Linked DNA regions of Sus scrofa. The protein of the gene in region 1 purifies or fractionates together with the protein of each later gene. This does not show direct contact. Links are inferred from orthologs where the notes say so. Each region holds a gene or a part of one and is shown on either strand. Other genes may lie near its edges.

The links.
Region 2: the proteins of EIF2AK3 (region 1) and TBL2 purify together in Homo sapiens (affinity purification with western blotting; 3 studies listed by BioGRID). This does not show direct contact. The link is inferred for Sus scrofa from reciprocal best matches to the Homo sapiens genes EIF2AK3 and TBL2.

Annotation. Positions count from the first base shown.
Region 1 is NC_010445.4:57,422,488-57,426,814, forward strand, and holds the start of EIF2AK3 (eukaryotic translation initiation factor 2-alpha kinase 3), read left to right. Parts: upstream 1-1,406; 5' UTR 1,407-1,727; coding exon 1,728-2,035; intron 2,036-4,327. UniProt on the Homo sapiens protein: Metabolic-stress sensing protein kinase that phosphorylates the alpha subunit of eukaryotic translation initiation factor 2 (EIF2S1/eIF-2-alpha) in response to various stress, such as unfolded protein response (UPR).
Region 2 is NC_010445.4:10,885,682-10,889,487, reverse strand, and holds part of TBL2 (transducin beta-like protein 2), read left to right. Parts: intron 1-92; coding exon 93-244; intron 245-589; coding exon 590-716; intron 717-1,235; coding exon 1,236-1,388; intron 1,389-1,618; coding exon 1,619-2,081; coding exon of another isoform or gene 2,082-2,127; exon of another isoform or gene 2,128-3,806.

The DNA.
Region 1 (4,327 bases):
CAGTAACTTACCCCCAGTAACTTCGAATGTAACCTTATTTGGAGAGAAGCCTTTTAAAGAGGAGATTAAGTTAAAATGAGGCAGTAATGAGGGTTATGATTTGGCCTACATGGAATCAGGAAAACCAGCGAAAAGTGTTTTATACAGGAAAGCCTGGTGTACTTGCTTAACTATAGCTGATAAAATGAAGACAAGAGAATTTGTCTTTTGAATTCAGCAGTGGTGGCCTCAGCAAGAGCAGTTTTGGTGGAGTTGTGGGCACAACAGCCTGACTTTAACATGTCTGACAAGGACAGAAGAGGAATGGAAGACAAAGAGTTAGAGATTTATTGTACTGAAGAACAATGGAACGTGCTACGAAGTGGAGTTTTTGCTCATTTTCCTTTTGGGAAGAAGAATTTAAGAGCATGTTTGTATGCCAGCATCTTCAAAAAAAAAAAAAAAAACTTCAGAATTGTGATGGGGCCATTGCCTCCTAGCTCTAGCCTCCCAACTAGTCTCTTCATCTTTGATGCTCTTCTTTTGAAAACTGCTGAGGAATTCATCTTTCTAAACCACAACCCTTATCTCTTCACTCATCTGCTCAAAAGTCTTCAAGGCGTCCTTAACTGCTGGATAAAAAGTTCCGAAGCTTTAGCTGAACATTCAAATCTTCTCCAGTTTGGCCTTTTGCGGTTTTATCTCTTGCTCAGGTACAGAGCAAGGCAGACCAGATCAGAATCTTGGACTAAAGTCATGGTTCTGTAAATAGCTTGCTGTGCATTTAGACAAATGACGTAAGTGCACCGGGGCCGGGCTCCTTCTTTACAATGAGGAAGGGATGTGTCCGGTAGACTAGATCACTGATCACTGTAGGTCACTGGCATCTCTTACAAGCCTTGTTTTCAGCGCTATCGCGAACACAAGCAGGATCCTCTCCCCAACTCGAGTCACCCCTTCTACTTCTAGAAACTACACGTCTCGTGCAGTCACTTATTTTTCTTGCTCTTCTTTTGCCTTTCTAAACAGATCAAGCTTAGCAGAGCCACAGCGTAACTCCTTGAAGGTCGGCCGCCTCCCCGCCACCAGGGACTCGCCTCCCACTCTTCCTTTCACTTGGGACCGTGCTCTCCACAGTCAGAATCCGCCACGTATTAAGTGCCGCTTCCAACCAATCAAGAAGTAGTTAGCTGGACTTTTGAGGGGCATCCGCTTCCACCAATGATCTTCAAGTCTTCTCTAGCGCCTTGCTGTGGGGGGGCGAGGCTAACCACCAAGCTAGCTAATCTGCTTCGGGGAAAGGTATTCTGGGAACTGGGGAACTCACCAATCAGATAAGAAGACTGCAGGGAGTGGCGTTTCTCATTGGTAACTGAGTCCGGAAGAAGGCCGAGCCTCGGGCTAAGGCAGTACAAGTTAATTGGTAGGCGCGATGTTGACAACCTCAGAAAACCCACCTTCTCCAACAGGACTAGCCTGGCTGCCCAGAGTGGCAGTGGCCGCAGCCAATTGGAGAGCAGATGCGCGGAAAGTGTGTTCAATGGGCGATGTCCGAGGGAGGCTGTCAGTCAGGTGGCGGTGGCGGAGGCCGGGCTAAGACGTGGCCGGGAGAACGCAGCTGGCGGTCCAGACCGTCCGGGCGGCGGCAGGGACCTTAGCGCTTCCTCGTCTTGGTCGGGGGCTCCGAGAGACAGCAGAAGCGGGCGTCGGGGCTGCATCTCCATGCCCGCGCGCAGAGCGGGCCGCTGATGGAGCGCGCCACCCGCCCGGGGTCGCTGGCGCGGGCGCTGTTACTGTTGCTGCTGCTACTGGGGCTCTCGACCGGAACGGTGGTCGCGCGGCGCGCCTCGGAGCTCCCGACACCGACCTCGAAGGCGGCGTTCGGCCTGGGGGCCGCGGCCGCTCCCACCTCGGCCGCGCGGGTGCCGGCTTCCGGCGCCGTGACTGCAGCCGAGGTGACAGTGGAGGACGCCGAGGCGCTACCGGCGGCCGCGGGCGAGCAGGAGCCACGGGATCCGGAACCCGACGACGATCCTGACCTTCGGCCGTTCGGCAGGTGAGGGGCACGGGCTGAGCGCCGGGACCGCAGACCCGGGGAGGCGACTTATTTATGCGCGTGCGCCGCGGAGGATTGGGGGGCCGGCTGTCCCCACTCCGCCGGTTCCTCTAGCTAGCTGAGGACAGCTGGTGTCCAGGGGGCGAGCGCGGGAATGCTTTCCCATCTCCTGGACCAGTGGCGGGCATCCCTCCGCTCCCCGGCACCCGATCCTTGCTCGCGGGAGCGAGCAGCATCCTGGAAGGCGCCTGGGGGATGCTCGGAGAAGGGAGCGCGAGGTGGGAAAAAAAACATCGTTTACCTCTTGCATTGTTTTCGAGCTATATTCATACTCCAAGAAACTAACAGCCTCTTTTTTTCTTTCGTGAATTACGTTATGTCTGTGCTTGGGTGACAGCTGTTTGGGGAAAGGACTTCACAAAGAGATTTCAACATTTCCGTTTTAAACACACCCTTGTACTGCCCACGGACCAGGGTTGAGGTCAGAATTTTTCTTAATTGGGATCTGCAGAACGCCTGCATCAGAACCACTTAGGGATGCTGGTTAACTACAGTTTTCTGTGTTCCATCCCAGATTTACTGAATTAGACATTCCCAGGATAAGAACCTGGAATCTGCAAATTTAATACACACTCCGGATAATTCTTGAATACCACTAACTAATGCTTAAGCGCTCTGGTCATGTTCATGAATTTTGACAATTCACATTCTGGAGGCACCACTTGAATGTTTATATATAGATGTTTTTGCACTGGCAGATGTTTGACAAACTTTCCATAGGTTTTGCTAATGAAATAGCTATCCAGGAAGACTGTTTTTGTTTTAAAGAAACTTCTGAAGCACTTGGTCAAAGTGAGTTAAGGTAAAATGAAGCAAGATGTGTCGTTTTTCTTAGACGCCACAACCACTGCAGCAGGTGCTTCTTGGCCCTGAAAAGGGCCCTCAATGCCCTGGGGATACAGAGGTTAGGCGGAGAGTCCCTCCCCCCCAGGGGAGTGTGCAGTCCAGCAGTGAGCATTAAATGAAGAGATCTGTAATGACATTACAGGGCAGAAGCCATACAAATTAAATGCCATCAGTGTCCGAAGGTATATGTGGTGTTCTATGGGTGGGGTACCTGGGTGAGGTAGGAGAGCAGATAAGAAGAGGTTGTGGCAGAATGAGTTGTTTGCTGAAAAGTGGGTAGAATTGTATTGGGCAGATAGTGAACTTGAGGAAACAGCAAGAAACTGGAAAGTATGTTTAGGGAACATGGGGGGTGTGTGTGTGTGTGTAAGATACAGACAGACATGCATGTAGAAGACAAGGCTATAAAACTAGGTTGGGGCCATGTTGTGTATATGCAGCCTTAGGCTTGCTGACATTGTCATCACCTGGGAACCCGTTAGGAATCCAGAATCAGGTACCAGGCAGACCCACTGAATGAGCATCTGTAGTTTAACAAGGTCAGCATGGATTCACCTTACAGTTTGAGAAGCATTGTGTAGAGGACAACAAATGCTAAATTTGAGGGAAGGGTGCCAAAGGAGACTGTTACAGCAGTGCAGTGCAGATGAGAGGTGTCCTGACAAGCGGATAAGGAACACAGCGGGTAAATTTGAGAGACTGGCAGAATCTTGGTTCTTGGTCAATTAATTGATTCCTCCTCCATTGGCACTGCCATCTGAAGGTGGCGGGGGTGGGGGTGGGGTGGCTAGAGAGGTGAGAGCACATGGGGAAACCTGGGGAGATTTAGGGGAGCAGGGAGTAAAAGGCAAGGGCTTCCGTGTCGGCATGGTGTCTCGGAGGCACTGGCAGGCCATCCAGAGGGAGAGGTTAGGTAGGAAAGGAGTGACTTCGGTTGGAGAGACATCAGGGTAAATGGCTGAAACAGGGGAAGAGAAGGCTGGTGATAAAAGCTGCCGGAAATGCCTTATGTTTCAGGGATGATGAGCCAGCAAAGGAGACAGAAAGACAGCTGTCTGGGTTGGAGGTGTGGGGTAAGGCCTGAGAAGATGAGGGATTTGGGATGAACACACATAAAGAATTTAAAGCCCTAGAGGGTTGGAGTTCCTGCTGTGGCGCAAGGGGATCAGTATCTTGAGCGCTGGGATGAGGGTTCTATCCCCCGCCCCGCAGTGGGGTTGAGGATCCGGTGTTGCCACAGCTGCCAGGCAGGTCGCATTAGGCCTTGGATCTGATCCCTGGCCCAAAAACTTGCATATATCCATATACCTCGGGGCAGCAAATAATAATAATGATAATAATAAAATAAAGCACTAGAGGGTTACTCAGATTGCCAGAGGTTCAGCC
Region 2 (3,806 bases), about 47 Mb from region 1:
TGACTTTGCTCAGAGTCCGCCTAGCACAGGCCTGGCACACACAGGTCTCTGTATCCAAACAAGTGAGAGACTTGTCTGCTCTCTGTCTCTAGAGCTTTCATCGTCTGGCTGGCGAATGGAGACACCCTCCGTGTCTTCAAGATGACTAAGCGAGAGGACGGAGGTTATACTTTCACAGCCACCCCAGAGGACTTTCCTAAAAAGCACAAAGCTTCCATTGTCAACATTGGCATTGCCGACACAGGTGAGAGGCGCTCAGGGGATGGAGCTTGCCCAAGGCAAGAGGAAAGAGACCCAGTTACACTTACTCAATCACTGAATAGTAGCCGAGAGTTTTGCTCAGCCCCAGGGTGACAGAAGGGGCTCTGGCTCTGGGCTCCCCTGGAGTCCTGGGAGTCGCTGCAAGTCCCCCGAGGAGACAGGTAAGAATAGCCGCCCTCCTCAGCCAGATCCTTATCTGTGGCAACCCTTGGCTCAGGAGGGGAGGATGGAAACTTTGGGCCGCAGAGGCCTTCATAAGTGTCTCTTTGGAGAATGACAGTTGATCTGGTCATTGACCTCAGCGCACGTGCCGCCCCTCTCTCCTCAGGGAAGTTCATCATGACTGCTTCCAGTGACACGACCATCCTCATCTGGAATCTGAAAGGTCAGGTGCTGTCCACCATCAACACCAACCAGATGAATAATACGTATGCGGCTATATCCCCCTGTAGCAGGTGAGGAAGGGGGGCCCTTGGCCTCAGGGATGGGCAGAGGTTGGGGCTGGGGGCCAGGGATAGAGCAGGAGGAGGAATTCCTGCTTTGGCACCGTGGGTTAGTGATCCGGCTTGTCTCTGTGGCGTTGCTGGCTCAAGCCCAGCCTAGTGCAGTGGGTTAAGGATCCAGTGTGTGCGTAGGTCGCAGATACCATTCAGATTCTGTCCCTGGCCTGGGAACTTCCTTAGGCTGTGGGTTTGGCCAAAAAAGGGCGGGGGGAAGAGCAAAACCTGTGGAATCAGGAAACCTAGATTCAAGACCTTAGTCTTTTTCTTCATCCATAGTTTTTAAAGAGTTTGGGTGGGCGTACTGTGTATCTTACAGCATGGCCATGAGGAGGAACTGAGGTCACGTATAAAAGTTTAAAGATGGTGTTATTTAGATACAAGATTATTAACTTTTTCAGGAAAAAGTTTTGGTGGCTTTGCAGAAAAAGCTGCCCTTGAAATTGTTTTAAAGGAAACTGGGTTTTTTGGCAGGTTTGTGGCCTCGTGTGGCTTCACCCCAGATGTAAAAGTTTGGGAAGTCTGCTTTGGGAAAAAAGGGGACTTTCAGGAAGTTGTTCGAGCTTTTGAACTGAAGGGCCACTCTGCAGCTGTCCACTTCTTCGCTTTCTCCAATGACTCCCGGAGGTGAGTGAACCCTCTCTGATTTCTTAGCAACGGCTCCCAGCCCCGCTTGACAACCAGGATCCTTGTGCCATTCCCTGCAGCAGCTCTGAAGCAGGTGGGGTGCCTGGCTCTCAGCAGGAAATAGCTAGAGTGGTGGAGCTGGCTTCCTGACGAGTGGATTCCCTAGTGCTGTCCCAGTGGCCTCCCTTCGGGGAGTGTTGGGGCTACAGCTGTGACTTTCTGTGCTGCAGGATGGCCTCTGTCTCCAAGGATGGTACCTGGAAACTGTGGGACACAGATGTGGAGTACAAGAAGCAACAGGACCCCTACTTGCTGAGGACAGGCCGCTTTCAAGAAGCGAGCACCATGCCGTGTCGCCTGGCACTCTCCCCTGACTCCCAAGTCTTGGCCTTGGCCTGTGGCACCAGTATTCATCTGTACAGTACCCGGAGGGGTGAGGAGGAGGAGCGCTTTGAGCAGGTCCATGGAGAGTGTATCACTGACTTGTCCTTTGACATCACTGGCCGGTTTCTGGCCTCCTGCGGGGACCGGGCGGTGCGGCTCTTCCACAACGCCCCTGGCCACCGAGCAGTGGTGGAAGAAATGCAGGGCCTTTTGAAGCGGGCCTCCAATGAGAGCACCCGCCAGAGGCTACAGCAGCAGCTGACGCAGGCCCAGGAGGCCCTGAAGAGCCTGGGTGCCTTGAAGAAATGACTCTGGGGGTACAGCACTGCTGCCGCCACTGCTGCCTCTTCTCCAGGTACACCCCGGCTGGAAACCGTTCAAAAGGAGTGTCCTAATTTTCTTAATGGTGGCTCCTCTCTCTTTTTTCCCATTGAAACTATTCTTGCCTACTTAGATCTCTCTCTCCCTTCTTGCTGGTTGTGACTCTTGGCCTTACTTGACCTCCCAGGCTAATGATCAAGGTGCTTCTCTTTTTCCTGGGCCCAAGGAGTGGAGTCTGTCTTCTCCAGGCACTGAGGAGAGTGGTAATTAGAAGAGAGAGAGAACATGGTCTTTGACCTGTGGCAACACACCCTGCTACCCAAAGAAGCTTGTAATTGTGGGGGAGAACCTCGGGAACGCCGGGGTACCAACCAGCAGTTTTGCAGGGGTAGGAGATGAGAATAGCTTCCAATTCCAGAACTGTGCTATGGCTCAGGGAAAGGCAAAGCTCCTAACTCCATCACACAGTAATTAAGGGATTTCATTTTGTGCCTCAGTTTCTTATTTGTAAAATGGAGAATTATCTCTTGACATCTTTAACAAAGATGTGAGAGTATGAGAGTATAAAATTCCTAGATTTGGAAGAAAAGTGGAAAAGTCATAATACATGTTATCTTTTGTGCAACATGATTTATTGACTACTGGGTAAAAGTGGGACTCAAACAGGGCAGTTTGAAACTACATTAGAAAGAAACATATCCCTTGGGAAGGCCAAGTTTCTGGGACTTGATCGTACATTTCCTGTCTGGTTCTGCTTTAAGTTGTGTGGGGGAATCACAGAATCCCAAGATGGGGCTGGAGTTCCCGTCGTGGCGCAGTGGTTAACGAATCCGACTAGGAACCATGAGGTTGCGGGTTCGGTCCCTGCCCTTGCTCAGTGGGTTGCCGATCCGGCGTTGCCGTGAGCTGTGGTGTAGGTTGCAGACGCGGCTCGGATCCTGCATTGCTGTGGCTCTGGTGTAGGCCGGTGGCTACAGCTCTGATTCGACCCCTAGTTTGGGAATCTCCATATGCTGCGGGAGCGGCCTAAGAAATAGCAAAAAGACAAAAAAAAAAAAAAAAGCCAAGATGGGGCTCTTCTCTTCCAGGAGGGTAGAGCCTGTTTGAGGAGAACCTCTTTTCAGTTCATCAAATATCCGAAGACCTATGCTGTGCCTAGCCCAGCACTGGACACTGGAGATAAATATGAATAAGACATCTTTGCCATCCAGGACGGCTGGCGGGAGGGAGGTACACACGTCTGTGAAGTGCTTTTTGTTAGTTTATTCATAGCTGGCAAAGGCTGTTATCAAAGTCAAGGCAAGAGAGGCTTGACTTAGGACAAGAGGCAATGGATACAAAGTTGAAATCGGAAGGACAGACTTGATAGGAGATATTAGGTATGTAGAAGTTCAAGTTTTTGGACTTTGAGGACTGCTTGGATATGACATGAGGGAAATGAGGAATCTAGGAAGACTTGAGCCTAGGCAAAATTTCTCCATCCAAATAAGTTCTTACTCCCTCTCCCTAAAGCTAGAGCCTCCGCCAGCCACACTCAACTCAAAAGGTTTGAACAAGTCCCAACCTTGGAGCCCCCCTTAATTTTTCCCTTTTCATTGCTCCCTCTGCCCTGCTACACTAGTTCCATCCACTCCATCAGAAAACTCTTAGTCACTTTCCAGTTTATACCCTGAATCCGCTACCTTTCTCCATCTTTGCTGTTACCATCCTGGT